Linked DNA regions of Drosophila melanogaster. The protein of the gene in region 2 interacts with the protein of the main gene of each other region in a biochemical or structural test. Each region holds a gene or a part of one and is shown on either strand. Other genes may lie near its edges.

The links.
Region 1: of the proteins of Cpsf6 (region 2) and Cdk8, one has a biochemical effect on the other in vitro, tested with the Drosophila melanogaster proteins (one study listed by BioGRID).
Region 3: of the proteins of Cpsf6 (region 2) and Doa, one has a biochemical effect on the other in vitro, tested with the Drosophila melanogaster proteins (one study listed by BioGRID).

What each region holds. Positions count from the first base shown.
Region 1 is NT_037436.4:9,836,479-9,840,660, forward strand, and holds Cdk8 (Cyclin-dependent kinase 8), read right to left. Parts: upstream 2,193-4,182; 5' UTR 2,128-2,192; coding exon 1,997-2,127; intron 1,935-1,996; coding exon 701-1,934; 3' UTR 602-700; downstream 1-601. Other genes in the region: I-2 (Inhibitor-2), read right to left, coding at 1-27; RasGAP1 (Ras GTPase activating protein 1), read right to left, coding at 4,084-4,182. UniProt on the Drosophila melanogaster protein: Component of the Mediator complex, a coactivator involved in regulated gene transcription of nearly all RNA polymerase II-dependent genes.
Region 2 is NT_037436.4:8,309,992-8,317,597, reverse strand, and holds Cpsf6 (cleavage and polyadenylation specific factor 6), read left to right. Parts: upstream 1-2,095; 5' UTR 2,096-2,460; coding exon 2,461-2,526; intron 2,527-2,921; coding exon 2,922-3,641; intron 3,642-4,446; coding exon 4,447-4,587; intron 4,588-4,847; coding exon 4,848-5,314; intron 5,315-5,524; coding exon 5,525-5,824; intron 5,825-5,882; coding exon 5,883-5,951; intron 5,952-6,371; coding exon 6,372-6,567; 3' UTR 6,568-7,105; downstream 7,106-7,606. UniProt on the Drosophila melanogaster protein: May play a role in pre-mRNA 3'-processing.
Region 3 is NT_033777.3:28,901,487-28,906,563, forward strand, and holds the start of Doa (darkener of apricot), read left to right. Parts: upstream 1-1,991; 5' UTR 1,992-2,089; intron 2,090-4,152; exon of another isoform or gene 4,153-4,276; 5' UTR 4,277-4,321; coding exon 4,322-5,077. UniProt on the Drosophila melanogaster protein: Dual specificity kinase involved in the negative regulation of microtubule-based transport through phsophorylation of the microtuble-binding protein eEF1gamma.

The DNA.
Region 1 (4,182 bases), 1.5 Mb from region 2:
CGCCTCCGCCTGCACCACCGCCTCCATTCCGAATCCCACTTACTTGTGTGACTTTCGCCTGTTAACTGCAATTGCAACTGCGTTTCCGGAGGGCAATTTACGCCACAATCTTCAAGTTGGCAGCCAGCTGGGTTTTGGGCGAGGGCCACGATCTCATCGATGTCGCCAGACGGGCGGTTTTGATCTTAATTTGGAAAACGTTAGATTTGGCTCTTTACGCTTTAATGGTCACTGTGTGGATATTCTCTTCTAATTTGTATTGCAAAGCAAATGGCAAATCCGGTAAAATATTCTAACAAATTCTACTAGAGCTGGCAACACAGCGATGGCACCTTCGATTACATTTAATCGATACTTGCGTATCGTGACCCAAGCCGACACAAAAACATAACATGCTTTAAATAAATAGCTCAGACTCGAACCAATTTTAAAAATAGTTTTCAAAACTTCGTTTGAGAAATTCATTTTTGAGAGGAAAGAACATGCATTCAAATTTATTTTTGAATATCCTTCGGAAAGATATTTCAACGAATTTGAGTTAATTGGAGTTCACAAAATTAAATAAAGAAAACCCTGTCCATTAAAAATCAACGTTTTATATCGTACACTTTACTTGCTATTATCAAGGTCATTAAATTAAATACTTAGAAGGCTAGAAATTAGTAGGTGTTGTAGAAAAAATGCTGCATGTATCAGTCTCTCAGTTGAAGCGCTGGAAGTTCTGCTGCTGATTGAACATCATCTGTTGCTGCTGCTGCTGCTGTTGTTGCTGCTGCTGCTGTTGCTGCTGCTGCTGGTGGTGAAAATCTTGCTGGTTACCAGCTCCGGACAATCGAACTCTCTTTGCATTCGGCTCAGCGTTCATTTGCTGCTGCTGCTGCTGCTGTTGTTGTTGCTGCTGCTGTTGCTGCTGCTGTTGCTGCTGTTGTTGCTGCTGCTGTTGCTGCTGTCGCTTATTATCCGACTTATCTTCCTGGTCGTCGTCGGTGAGGAATTCACGCTTGGGATACGGTATGGGGCAGCCGGCGAACACGTCCTGCGTGGGCTGCGGCTCCTCCTGGAAGTACTGATCCTGCATGGCCTGTTCGGAGGTGATGCGCTTGTTGGGATCCATTAGCAGCAGCTTCTGCAGCAGGTGAAAGGCCTTGCTGTCTGGCTTTATTTTGTGCCTTTCCATGTATTTGGCCAGCGAGCAGGTGGAGTATGTGGAGCGTTTAAAGTCCTTTGTCAGCGTATGATGTTCCGGCATCTTCTTGATATCCTCCCAGTCCTTGTCCTGCGGAAAGCCCATCACATTGAAGATGCGGTCTAGCTGATCGTGATGGTACGGATTACTGGTCTTTATGTCCTCCTGGCGGCAATGGAAGATGGGCTCCGAAGTGAGTAGTTCGGCGAAAATACAGCCAATAGCCCAGATGTCGATAGCCTTGGTGTAGTGACGAGCGCCAAGCAGCAGTTCCGGAGCGCGATACCAAAAGGTAACCACCACGGGATCCAGATCTGCCAGCGGTTTCAATGGGGCATTGAAGAGCCGCGCGAAACCCATGTCGGCGATTTTTACGCGGCCCCTCTCGTTGCCATCGCCCATCACCAGGATGTTGGCCGGCTTCAGGTCACGATGTAGCACCCAATTACTGTGCAGATAGTGAATCCCATCCAGAATCTGATATAGCAGACTTTTAACCATACCGCGGGGAACCACAACCTGCTTTTTGGTGGCCTTAGCAGCCCGATGGAACTTAATGATGTGCCACAGGTCGTGCTCCGCATAGTCGATCAACAGGAACACCTTGCGGTCGTTGTGCGACAGAAACACCCGGATGAGGGTAATTACGTTCTGATGCTTCAGTTCGCGCAGCAATGCGATCTCGCGGCAGGCGGACATGGACAATCCGGTGCCGTCGATCTGCTTCAAGGCATATTCTTTGCCATCGCTAAAGAACATGAATACTATAATTATTTATATTGTTTGAAGAGCACCCGATGACCAGTTCACCTTGTCTCCTTCCATTTCGCCTTGTAGACGTGGCCGTATGTTCCGCGTCCCACCTTACAGCCCTCGTAGTTGAATAGGTCCTCCACTTTCGTACGCTCTATCTGCGTTTTCATCTTGAAATCGTAGTCCATTTTTACAAAAGTTTGCAAATTCCACAATTGTTTGTAAATGAAGATGCCGCCAATCAGCTGTCTCCCGATAACGATAACACAGCCTTAACCAGGGATGGAAAATGGGAACAGTGCTCGCCATACCTAGCTTTTTTTATAGCTAGCCTTTTAAAACAGAAAACATTTTTTTATAATTTTGTTTTTTTTAATTTTTTGTTTACTGTTTAAAAAATTCTATTGTATCCACAAACAAGCAAAGCCAGAAAAACTTTCTGTATATTTCATTCAACCTCGTAAAAAAAAAACTTGTTTCTAAAGAAAGAAAGAAAATAGAAATATAATCCCCCTAAATATTTTTGAATTCTGAACCAAATCAAATACATATATATTGGATGTTATATAGAAAAATAGGTAATCCAATAGTACTTGACAAGGTGCTTGTATAATCCTATCACAATAAAATATGAAAGCTCTATCAATAATAAACTCAAAAGAAAACGAAATCAAAATTTATCCATTGGCGATACGCTTTATTTTTCCCTTGGAAAATATCTATGTTTTTATTTTCGATTCTTTGTACCAACAACTTATCAGCTAGGCATGGTAAAAGTAAACTATAATTGTGTCCTTAAAATGCAAGTGAAATTATATGTATATGAACCACGTTGGAAACTCCAAACAATTTAAATTCATAGCAACATCTCGTCGTGTTTCTTTCTCCGTTTCGTATCTCTATGTACATTATGCAGATATTAGAATTAAGAAATGCACAAATTATTGGATTGGAATGCATAAACAAAAGGCAATATGATTGAACGCGGCGAAGGAAGACACTTTTCAATGCGATTGATGAACACTGAACTAAATATGGCAAAAATTAGATTATTTAACATTCTAGTTCTAGATGTAAATTACATGTGTAATTAATATGGAAGAGCTTTGGAAACAAATCGGTGGAAGTAAGTCGAAGCTAACCAAATCGTGTTTGTGTAACAATTAACTTGTTTTTCGTTTTAAGTTTAATATGAAATTAAATGCATTTAATAAATATAGGTGTGCGTGCGTATGTGTTTGTATATGCAAAATGGAAGTAAATTTGTTCTTAACAATGCTTTTTGTTTGTATTCTAGAATTTGCCGAATACATATCGTGTGTTGTTTAACATTAGCTGTATGACAGTTATATAAAGTAAATATACATGTAAATGTATGTTTTTTTCATGCTTTTCGCAGTATTTTTCTCGCGTTCAGATTGCGTTAGAATTATTTGCTTTTCGCGTGTGTCGCCTCTGGGCAAAACGCCTAGTTTAGTTGATTTTTTAGAAATTTTTGCTACGCCTAAATTAACTGGTATAATGAAGTTAATCATACACATGTACATACATACTGTGGGATATATATATACTCGTGTATCTGCTATTTACATCTTTTCATTTTCATTTCGCTACTCATCATCCCGCCGATACTTAACTTAGGCTAGGCTTTAAAAAATCTTAGCAGTTTCTGAGTTTTTAGTAGTTTAGGCTTATAAAGTTATCAGTTTTCAGTGGTTCTCTGCCCTCTTTGCGCTCACACAAGTATAGAAATGCTCTTTCCATATTGGGTATTTTGTTTTCGTGTAAAAATAATGTTAGCACATACAAAAAAATAAATAGGCTTATAAATATTTAGATTTCGTTTCCGTTCCTCTTGTTTTCTCCTCGTGTTGTTGTAGCTGGTGTAGGCGGTACCGTAAAAATCTGGTGTATAAAAACTGTTAATTAAAAAAACTTAGTCTAGACCTTTACAACGTTAAACTCGTAAAAATGATACAAAAAAAAACAAGAGCCTAGAAATTAGCACAATTAATCGTTTTGTACAGCAGCATCCTCTGGTTGCGTAGGAGCGGTAGGGGGTTGTGTTTGCCACATCGATGCGTATTCCTTTACCTGGTCGTGATAATGGCCCGCGGCAAAGCGAATACGCACAGCCTTGAACGCTAATAAATCGGTGGAGCTGGCTGCGATGACGATGTGGTGCTGGGCGGTGCGGCCACCACACTTGATGTGGTCGATGATGGACTGGAGGAGGATCCATT
Region 2 (7,606 bases):
TTTGTTTTGTTTGCTGGTGATTCGTGTAAACTGTGCCGACTCGGCATGGAGCTTTGGATTTGGACCCTGGTTGCATGTCAAAGGCGCATGAAACGCGCCAGCCTGCCACAAGAATCAAATGACACTCGGCCTGGTCCATTTCGGTCGCTCCACGGAGTTAAAAAAATTATCCATGCAGTGCAGTTTGTAGCTTACAGTTCGCAGTTTGCAGTATGATATGGTCAAAATACCCAGCAGTGTGTAGCCTTAATTGGCACCTCGACACTTGGCCAGGACCGAACCGAATCGAATCGCATCGAATGACTGCTGCTGTGTAGGTGCACTTGATGGCCGGCTGTGGTGTGAGATTTATGCATGTTCTCTTTGCGTATCCATTGCCCAACTGATGGTGGTGGAGCGGCACGACGGCTACTGGGCAGTTGGAAGCTTGGAAGTTGCAAGTTGGCACTTTGTTAGGCTGCGGCGCCGCTTTTTGATAAAGTATCCCAGCCAATGGTCACGCAATAAATTTTTGACATGACTTACGCACGTCCGAAATGGTCGATGGGGGGCAATTGATATGAGTGGTAGCCATTATGTAGATCTAAGTGATCGGAAACATTCAATAACACTTATACGACTTTTATGATAGCCAGCCAAAGGCCACACGGCGTATGCGCAATATTTTCATAGCAATTGATTTTTATCCTATTATTGTTGGTTATTTTAAAAGCGTGCAGTATATTTAAGATAAATACTACGTGCGTAAGTCTCCTCCCCTTCAATGTTGCACCTTTGAGCCCCAATTCTGTCCCAAAAATGTCAGCGATTAGCCGAGAATTTCAATTGACTGCACCCTCGCCACCAACATCCGTCGATTTCCATCTGCGTGATTGCTCTTGAAGAACCGCCCACCTTGAATTGGAAACACATTTCCACATATGCAAATCGCGAAAATCCAATCTGCAATAGCTTTATTCGCTGAAGCATTTAAAAATCGATTGATTGCTGTAAAGATCGTAATTACCCATTTAATTACTCTTGTTAATTAAACACACAATCGCATGAGGCGAGAGCAGCAAATATAATTGCCGTCCGTTCAGATTGGACGATAAAAGCCAGTGGTAATTGACATTTAAGGCAATTCATTAACGCAACTAACATATGGGAGTCAAAGAGCCAAAGTTAAAAACTAAATACCAACAGGTGGACTACTGCCCAAATACGAGAAGAAAAATGAAAAAACATCAGATACACGAATAACATGGCTAATCATGCACTAGATTTCGGGATATGTGTCTTTTTTTTCACAGGCCCGACTAAAAAATGCTGCCTCGGTTTTTTTTTCCCCCAATTTTTCACCGCGCATTTGCATACGAGTGGCCAAGTCGACGGCGCCACAATCTCCTCGGTTCCCAGCCACCAGCAAGTTCGAAGATTTCGGAGAGCCGAGTTGTTAGCGGCAATTATTGTAACCTGCAGACGGGCCGCATAAATCAGCTTAATTGCTATATTTAAATTCTAAATTTGGAGCTCTGGCCAAGTGCGCTGTCTAGTTGTGCAAGTGACACGGTCAGCGTCTATTTGGACCTGCAAATCTAATATATGCATGGCTATAGTTTTTGGGCAGCATTAACAATTTATGCAAATTAATGTGTGTGTGATGGTGGTCCCCTAAAAAGGCAAATTTATTAGAAGTATGCATATTTAAATTAAGATATGCCTGTTATGGGTGTTGTAATGAATGTTAAGTATTTTCACATGTCGATTTTTAATAACAAAGAACCTAATGAACTTATTACACATTTCAAGAAAGTTCTAACGGTTGGTTTTAAAATTCAAAATTCGATAGAAGTCGATATATTTTCAATGGTTTGTGTCCACGCTACGACCACAGTCAAATTGGAAATTGATGTCAAGTATTTGTGATTATTTTATGGTAATAATAAAGCGATTTAGGTAACAAACACATCTAATTAAATTCTATTCATTAAATATATTTTATCGTAGTTGTATTCTCATTAACTGTCAAATTGCGGAATACCCCAAACAGGATGTGGTATTTTCTAGTATGCGAGCAAAAATATACCGCATAGGTTTTCCACATTTCAGCTTTACAGTCACACTGCACCGCTCCGCCATTTTACGCTGACAATTTTTTCGCAAGATTGAAGAAACTAGTTCGTGCACGAGTAGAATGTAAATAGTTACAGAATTCACCCAACGGAAAACAACGCGCCAAAGCAATTAATCAATTAATTGTGCAGCGGGCGCGATTACCCGGCTAAATCGCGCAGCAGCACGCCGGTTTCTGCTCCGGCTTCCCCCTCCCCCGCAAAAAAAAAGAAACTGTACGAGGCGCGAGTGCAAGTGGGACAGAGACGGAAAGATTGGCGAGTGTCTTAGTGTGCGTGCGAAAATTGGGAAAAGCGGTGAAAAATCAGTAATTACGCCTAGGAATAGCAACTTTTCCGGCTCAACATGGCCGACGTGGTCTTGGATCTGTACGCGGAGGACCTCGACAAGGACTTTGCCGGGCAGGCTCAGGTAAGCCATGGGAAAAAGGCAGTCGCTCTGCAAGCCGCGTGTGTATGTATACAGTAGGGTGGATCGATGTCCGAAAGAATTGCGTTAGGGGGTAGAACGGCGTCTTGGGCGAACTCGACCACTTGGTACCTTGTAAAGTAGGGTTCTAGGAACTGAGTGCAGGGATATTATATTTATATAAAAATGAAACGTAATTTTTTTTAATTTCTTTAGCCATGGAAATGTAGAGAATTGTACGAATCCCAATAACTATACATTCTAAAAATTCTAAAGTAAAAATAGAGTAAAATCGAATTTGTAAAAAAAACAAGACTTGATCGTTTATTTTTAACGATTTTACGGGATTCCCACAACAGTTTGACCCACTTGTTAATTACTTTGCTTTATCCGCACAGGACGAATTTGGAGGCGATGGAGTAGACCTATACGATGACATAGGCGGTCCCACCGAATCGGCCGCCTCAGGTGGCGGGGGCGGTGGAACGCCCTCCGCAGATGGAGCCGCAGGGCCAGGCTCCGGGGAACCCGGCGAACGGAATTCCGGTGGTCCCAATGGGGTGTACCATCAGAGCAGTGGTAGCCTCACTCCGACCATGAATCGCCGCTACCAGCTTTATGTGGGCAATCTCACATGGTGGACCACTGACCAGGATATCGCCAATTCGCTGCGAGACATTGGCGTGAGTGATCTACAGGAAGTGAAGTTTTTTGAGAACAGGGCCAACGGTCAGTCGAAGGGCTTCAGTGTAATCTCCCTCGGCTCAGAATCTAGCCTGCGCGCCGTGCTCGACCAGCTGCCCAAGAAGGAGATGCACGGCCAAGCGCCGGTGGTCACGTATCCCAGCAAGCAGGCACTCACCCAATTCGAGAGTCTGCAAAAGACGCGTCCAGTGCCGCCGCCGCAGCAGAATGGACCGCCCAGGGGTCCGGCACCACCCAGTATGGGTGGCGGGCCAATGCCCACCGGACATCCAGGAGGACCGCAAGGAGGTGGACCACCGGGACATCCACCGCGCGGGATGAACTCCATCATGCAGCCGGGCCAGTACCGACCGCAGCACATGTCGCAGGTTCCCCAGGTGGGCGGACCCAACTCAGGACCTCCACGAATGCAGGTACACAACCACTGTTTTAGCCCCACATGGCCCCAAGAGGTCTCATCGTTTGTAGAAATATCGCTCGGTTCTAATTTGTTTTGTTTCTACATTCCTACATTATTTCCTATTTCCATCAAAATTGTTCTGAATGCAAAATTTGCTTACTTAGGTAAAATTAGAAACCCTAAATATACGACTTCATGTATAGTTTATAAACGAATATGTTCTACTTCAGTTGTTCGATATTCTTTTGTAAATTAAACGTAGAAACTTAGTTTTACAATTTAGAGAAAACAATAACGACTTTAGATGTGAGATATAAACAATCTGAAATATCCGATCTCTTGTTAGTATTTCATTTGATAATTTATAAACTAAACTAAAGCTGTCGTACAAATTAAGTTTCTAAGAATTTTTATTTATGTCTTTAAGTACTATTCTTATTCTTTACTTCTATTAATTCACAAGTAATTTCAGAGCAATTTTTTGTAGCACTCCTCGGCCTAAGGCAGTTTGTATTCTTTTTACTCCTTTTGTACTCTAGTCATAGACTTTCAACAAAAAAAAGCACATGTAATAAATTAAAATCAAGAGCAGTGCCTTCCTGGTTCCACTCAAATAATATATACTTTTGATTTAATTGCGTTAATGTATTTCCCCCCCTAGTATTTGTAATTGTGTATAATGGCCCGCTATTGTTATACAAAATGTTTATGTATTACGATTTATGTTCTATTCCATGTCTTTGACAACGCTTACGCACACTTCTACCCCACAACAACAACTACTACTTCAATATAAAACGTAATTCGTATTAATATAGCCGCCAATGCATCCGCAAGGCGGGCTCATGGGGAACCAACAGCCGCCACCCCGGTATCCGTCAGCGCAGGGCCAATGGCCAGGTCAGCGGCCAGGCGGGCCGCGACCAGGTCCACCGAACGGACCACCGCAGCGACCAATGGTAACAATCCCCAAAGCACTGAGTCCTCTTTGTATCTATGCCATAATATAATTCTAACGAAGCCAGAGAGAAGGCGAGATAAAGGAAGACTAACCCAACTTAAGTTAACCTTAGTTAACTTAGTCTTAAGCGATGTATTCAGAACATTTTCAGTAATTCCACAGATCAACCCATGCAACACAAACTCATACTATAGCTTAGAAACCGATTCGATCCGATCATTGGGAACAGTAAATAATCTTGTCTCTTCTGCCTTGCAGTTCCAAGGAGGCCCAATGGGCATGCCCGTCAGGGGTCCGGCAGGTCCCGACTGGCGTCGTCCACCCATGCACGGTGGTTTCCCGCCGCAAGGTCCGCCACGTGGCCTTCCCCCAGCACCAGGTCCGGGCGGACCACACGGCGCACCCGCACCCCACGTGAACCCAGCATTCTTTAACCAGCCTGGTGGTCCTGCCCAGCATCCGGGCATGGGTGGCCCGCCCCACGGAGCACCAGGTCCACAGCCAGGCATGAATATGCCACCGCAACAGGGCATGAACATGACGCCACAGCATGGACCGCCACCCCAGTTCGCCCAGCATGGACCACGTGGTCCGTGGCCGCCACCGCAGGGTAAGCCACCAGGTCCCTTCCCCGATCCGCAGCAGATGGGTCCGCAACTGACGGAGGTGGAGTTCGAGGAGGTGATGAGCAGAAATCGCACAGTCAGCAGTTCGGCGATCGCCAGGTGAGTGCAAAGGTTTTTAAAATGTTTTCTTTAACGAGGTCAAAACTTGTAGTTATTATTTAAAAACTAACCCATTCCTAAGTCGAATTCATAGAAAATTCCAATTATTGAAACTATGACTCAGATCCGGTCTAATTAATAAATTATCTAGATAATTAATTACTTTGTTGATCAAATATCAATTCCCTTTTTATGCTAATTTATTTTCAGAGCTGTTTCTGATGCAGCCGCTGGTGAATACTCGAGCGCCATCGAGACACTGGTCACAGCCATTTCACTGATCAAACAGTCCAAGGTAGCGCACGATGAGCGATGCAAAATTCTGATTAGCTCGCTGCAGGACACGTTGCATGGCATCGAGGCCAAGAGCTACAATAGGCGCGAAAGGTCGCGGTCGAGGGAGCGATCTCATCGCAGCCGACAGCGACGTGAGCGTTCCACGTCCAGGTACCGCGAGCGATCTCGGGAGCGGGAACGCGATCGGGATCGTGAGCGTGAACGGGATGGCGGGTAAGTTTTGGTTCTACCATGTGTAAGCCTCACACTTAATTCCGTATTCATTTTCTAGAAGCTACAGAGAGAGGTCTCGCAGTAGAGAACGTGAACGCCAGGCTCCAGATCACTACAGGGATGACAGGTAAAGACGTTCTACTTCTAAAAATTCGCTTCACTGTCTCATTTAAAAGTTGCTGATTAATTAATCATAGTGCTTCATTTAAATAGCATAGAACTCATAATTTATTCACTCGTAAACAGATTTTTTACTTTTGCTGTAAAAACAAGTGTAGATTTGTAAAGTCAGACGAAACTTTATTTTAAAATATTTGGAAAAATGTATAATTTATTAAAAGGTAGTATTTTTAAGGTATAGGCTTTTCAAATTTTTTATTTTCATTAAAAGCTTTCTGTAAAGATGTTAGCTTGAATTGTAACTGTTTAGGCTCATCAGAATATTTTTGCTCTTTTGTGCAACAATATACGGTGACAATTAAGCGAATTATTTTTAAGCTCGAAATGAAAACCTTGCGTTAATTTCAATCCCATAATCCGAAAACAGCCGATCGGTGCGTCCACGAAAGTCGCCGGAACCCGTAGTCGCCGAAGCAGCGGAGGCGCCATCATCGAAGCGCTACTACGAGGATCGGGAAAGGTACCGCTCCTCGGACCGTGAGCGACGCGACCGCGATCGAGACCGCGACCGCGAGCGGGAGCGTGATCGCGACAGGCGTGAGGAGCACCGTTCCCGGCATTGACTGCCGTAAGTGGAAGTTGGAACCATCGCCAGTGGACCCGTAATCAAGTGTAAAGATGCAACACAGATATACTAAACACACTCTATTAACAAACAATAAGCCGCAGCTTGGTGGGATGACAAGCTAGCCACAATTAACAGATTTTCGATTTGTATCTAACATTACCAATACGTAGGATATGAATATGGCAAACAGCATAGTTCTTCTAGACATACTATAATAAGCCGAAATGCTGACAAGATTTTACCAACGACGGACGGGGACTGCCTCTGGATCCATCCAACTTCACATCACAGAATCCTGGCAACATCAAGACCGGCAGACCGAAGTCAGCAGCAGTAGCAGGAGGATCGATGGAGAAGCCAAGGGGACAGTCAGCGTGGGACATTATAGACACTGATGCGCACTGGATCATCAAACAACAAACAACTAGCATTCCTGCACCGCCGTCTTCGCAGCAGAATTTCAATATTATTGTACTCTAAAATTTCGGTTTATTTAATAAAACATAAACGTATGAAAAAAAGAATTGTTCCAGAAAAAACCTTTACCAAAACTGTCTTGTATTGTGTGTCTTCTTGTACTCTTATTATATAAAAAAAAAAACATCTTATTAGTTAATGACTTTATAATTGTACAACAAAATTGTATGTAAAAATTACAAAATTATTGCACTTGTGCGTGCAATTAATATGGAAATTGTTATATTAACAAAATCATTTTGCCGACTGAGGCCGAAAATCGTTATCCCTAATGTATTTTCAAATATTTCGCGATCTTTTGTTGTAAACATTCTCCACGCATTTGTTTAATCTTGTTTTTATTTAACAATTAAACTTAAGTCGATCATAATTGTGTGCTTGAGACTGAGTGTGAGTGAATTTTTGTAGCATTCAAATGCCGACTGAATCCATCCGCATAAACGGATGGAGAAAACCATATGTTTGTATAGAATAAGTCGAGTGTGTGCTTTTAGCCCAAATACCATGATTTTTAGACTAAATTACTCTAAAAGAGAAACGTCCCAATCGCATTTATC
Region 3 (5,077 bases), on a different chromosome or scaffold from region 2:
CGGATGATTGGATAGTCGTTGAGTACTTTGTCGATCACGACAGCGATTATCTAGTAAGCATGTATGTTGTGCTATCAATCGAACCCACCCACCTCCCCTTCCCCTTCTCCTCCTTTTGACTAACCTATCGTTCCTTACTTTTGTGTGCGTCTTGCAGTACACCCTATTCTCGAGTGGATCGGTGAAGTGATCAGCGCGCTATCATGATCGTTCGCCGCTGCACTCGATCCCTCTCTACTTTCTTATCTATGCGGCGTTGAGTTGAGCTAAATTTGTCATTAGATGTGTCACATTGCTCTGGTTCTTGGTCTTCTGGTACAGTGATTACATGGGAAAGTCACTGTAATCAGTGTAACTGAATATGGAAATAAATGCTTCAGGGCTTCAAGAGGCGGAGCACTTGAGTGAGCAGCATGAGTTGATAAGATAGTACTTGAAACAAAGTAACTTGGTTGGGCAAGGCCTTTAAACTGTGTCGAAATTCAGAAACTTAGATGTTACATAATTACAAATAACTATTGGTTTTGTTATTCAAGTGTAGGTTTGAAAAAAAACAGTAGCCACTTTAAATATAATCAAAATTTTAAGAGATAATCATTTTTTAAAAGCTTAGAGCGGAAACTCGGTTTGAGCTGTATTCATCAGTAATAAAATGGTACTTAAATAGAGCAGTTAAGCGAAACCTTGGCAATATTCATGTGCAAATTAAGCAATTTCTATGCGTTCTTCGTGGCATCTAGCTGTATGAAAAACAGCTCTCAATTAAACGAGAACTTTATAGTTCTCATTCACTGTTGGTGGTTCTTTATAGCTACCCCTGTGCCCAACACTCCCCGCTGTTCTAGTTATTTTCGTTCAATTGATCATTTGACATTAACTCGTTGACGGCGGCCAGAGTTTTCTTTGCTGCTCTGAGATGTGATGAGATATTGCTATTGCTGCTGCGGATGATGCGAACTGCTCCTCGCCAGCATTGCCAGTTGCCCATGTCGCCGCCAATTAAGTGGGCTGAGTAACTCGCATAGAATTCCCTCCGCGTCATCGTTTAGTCCCCAGGCCGCCAAGATTCAGTATTTTAAGCAGTTGGAGCAGCAGCTCATCATCCGGAATGGGGCGAATGGCTGTGGCCTGGAAACATATCTGGAGGAGGATGCTTCACCCGGTGACGGAGAGAGCGTGGCCATTACCCGCTGCCTGCTGCTAAAACGGCAACGTAATCACTTTGATCTTGTGGCCCTCAGCGATATGCCTGTGGACAAGTACGCCGGCGACAATTGGATCATCGAGGAGTACTTTGTGGACCACAATGACGACTATCTAGTGAGTCGTCCCCATTCCGAGTCACAGATTGTCGGCGAATATCTTTCGTTTTCTCGTGATGCATTGTCGGTCCTACAATTTTATAGGAACACAACCTTTTTTCAAAAATATTGTGGAAAAAAATATGTACAGTAGTAATTGTAATCCTAACAAATTCCCTTCGTTGTTTTAAACTAAAATTGTTAGTTATAATCTGTATATGTGATATATGTACACATGTCGATTCAAGTCAAATGGTCGTCCATATATTATTCGAATTTCTGCAAACACAAATGTTAAGTCTTCTGGAAATTTTGGCATGATTTATTGGCAATGCTACTGCTTTGACCGCCGCTATATACACCGATTTTACACGGTGCCCACTCACTCTCCCTGTCTATATCATGCCCCCAAATACACACATGTTTATGGGCTCCCGAGAGCGACGCCTTGGGGATTCCTCTCCGCACTGTGCGCATGTTCGTCTAAACTACCTATGGCCCATGGCGCACAGCTGATACTTCTTTCTCGGAGATGCGCGCGCAGCTTCATCCGGCGGAAAAGCATCTACTTGCCATTTGCTCCGTGGCCATTGGAAAATTATAAATACACGCGCCGCCGAAAGTCTGCGCTCTTCTCATCTGCGGCCAGTTTTCGGCTGAGAATTTTCAAATTCGAGGAAACCGAAACAGATTGAAATCTACGTTTGTTGGCTGTGTGTCGCCGCCACTGCTGCCATATAAACCATATAAACTACATATTGTCGTCGCTTCGTCTTCGTCGTGTAACGGTACGGGTACCACGGGGATCCCCCGCACACTCGCTGTCTCTCTCTATCCGGTCAGATCCCCCCGATCTCTATATTGATCGTCTCCTTTCGCGCAATTTGTTTATCGATGTGTGTGTGTGCGTGTGTGGTGTGTGTGCGTTTCTTGTGCTTTGAATATTCCTTTTCTTTTTGTATTTGGCTGAGAAACACCAAATAATCGAATAGAACAATAATTAGAGGTACATACGGAGCGTATGTGCAATATAGAAACGCATTTCGGAACGATAGGATAGGTAGAACAATTGCTGGGCACCGTGACATAATCAAGCGCAAGAACAAAAAACAACCCAAAACTTAGAACATTTAAGTGTTTTAAAAATAAAACAGTAGCAGTGCGGCAAGAACAAAATTGTCGAAAGCGAAAAAAACATCAAACAAAACACTGAGTGTTAAAAAAAAGTGCGCGATATTCATCGGACTGTATTTGTTTAAACAAAACGCGATGCAAGATACCATAGCCAAACTGTTTTATTGACCCCCCGCCAATGGTGGCGAGTGTATAATTCGGAATAATATCAAGTGGGATACCATCCAGCCTGATGAGCAGCTGTGAAACGTCCAAAACGCTGATAGTGAACTTTGCACTTCTCCACCAAGTTTGCAATTAGCGAGGCGAAAGATACTTTTAATAGAAATAGCGTATGGGGATGGAGGAGACTAGTGCAACATTCACTCAATCGAATACACAGATAGAAATGAAGATAGTTTAAAAACATTTTGGACTATGGAATGATATATATCTTCAAACCATATTTCTTTGTTAACTATGTTCCAAAAGTTTAAGGGTCAACAAGTAAAAACAGTTTAGTTACTATTGTGCTTAGATAATATGGTGAATATGTTTTCTGTGTACTCGGAGATGAAGGCGAAGAAGACAACGCAGCGGCCAAGCAAATCAAAACAAAAACTCAAAACTAACAAATGGAGCACACACGTGTGTGTCCGTTAGTGTGTGTGCCACATAGATACAAACTATCTATATGTGCGCTACAGATCGGCGGGATTATTCATCAGGCTGCCACATCATCATCATGTTGATCTCCGCCGCTCCGGCGTCTCCTTCCGCTGCCCTCCATCCTCCACTTTCCGCTTAGCTGGCGTTTTCTATAATTTTCGAAAGCTATTTTCGTAAGGCTTGCATTTATATTTAGTTGCCACAACAAACTTATAGCAAAAATCCAAGACACAAACTTGTACATGATTAAATTTTGGCCATATGATGATGCCAACCAAAATAAAAGTCAACTGGGGTGGAAAACTTTTCCCCTTCAGATTTTCCAACTCGAATGTGTGTGCTTTCGGTACAGTGAAAGCTAAGCCAGAGCTCAGCAAAGATCAGAAAATTAATGGAAACTCAAAGTGAATTAAAAAATCCAATCAGTCGAATGTGATTATCAGAGATCAGAGATGCATCTTCCAAATGAGAGCTGTCAGTTCAATTTGCATGGCTGATCGAGGTTTCACTGTACTGGCACTAGCGTCACACGTACTGTGTACTAGGTATAACGTCGTCCATTTGTTAAAAATAAAAACAGATTTCGAACCGAACACAGAATGGCAGGGAAAGATGCCCAATGAACCCCACCGAGATATCACACATAGGCTAAAACGATCTCTCCAGGGATATTCACACATATTCCACACATCGCAATAGATTTAGGGCAAGGTGCAGATCTTTTGGCTAGAATCGCAAAGGGGTAGGGGGTTTGCTTTTTGATGAGGCGGCGCCGCGATCAATGAGCTCATTGCTGTTTACGATTTGTAATTTGTATATGTCTCTGCTCTATATACCAAAACAAATTGGGGGTGCTATACATGCTTGTACCCATATATATGTCGGATGTATATGGGCGCCAAAAAGAAGCAGTCTTTGGTCGAACGGCGACCATTGATACAATTAGTAAGTCAAGTCGTCGGGCATTTGCCAAAATGCCAATGAGACATTGACATTGAGCGTGCGATCGATTGTTCCGATCCGATCTGATCCGAATAGAACCAATACGAAATAATCCGATGTTGCGCAGGTTTCCTTTGGGGCCAACATTGGCAGCCTCGCGAGTCTTGCCCAGCTAGTCGAACCCAACGCAATTCGAGGGAGCCGCCAGTGCAATATTAGATAATCGAGTAATTTTTCCCCTTGGGATCCAGAAAGAAAGCTGACAATCAACCGAAAAGTTCACCACACCCCTTGGAATGTCCAACGAACTTAGCGAACTGATCGCCCTTGGCTGTCCAGACCTCGCGGCGCAAAAGCCGCAGGGCGGTAGCACCCAGGTGGAGTTGATCCTCAATACTGAGCGCCGCCTGAGCATAAAGCAGATGACGGCCACGGATTTGGCCACACTTAGGGCAGCAGCAGCCGCAGAAGCGGAGGCCAGATCTCGAGCACAGGCGGAGGCGGAAGCTCTAGCAATTGCCCAGGAACAGTTTCGTCAGGCCCGCGAGGCCGAGTCCAAGGCCAGAGCACGTGCTGCCCTCGAGGTGCAGGCTCAGCTGCAGCGGGTGATGGAGAGCGAGAAACGCAGGCAACAGGAAGAGGAGGAACGGCGCATCAGGCAACAGGCAGAGGAGGAGCAGGAGGATGATGAAGACGACGACAACGATGAGGAAGAGGAACTAACCAAGGGTTCCCTTCCAACCAATTCAGGTCCAAGAGAACGCATTGCTTCGCTACCCTGCAACATAGATGATGCCATGGAGATGCACCTTCTTAACGTTTCGCAGCCGAAGGCCTCTTCCAAAGATGACTCACCGCCTAAGAAGAGTACCTCTCACATAGCTGACTCGATTGAGCTGCTGAGAATGCAGCGAGCTGCTCGGGATGCCCGTTCCCACAATCGTAGTCGAGAGCGTTCCATTTCGCCAGATCGTAATCGCGAAAGGAGCGCTGCTCCAGATCGCCTCCAGAGTTCTGCCAGCATGAGCAGCTTGGACTCGGCCAGTGCATCG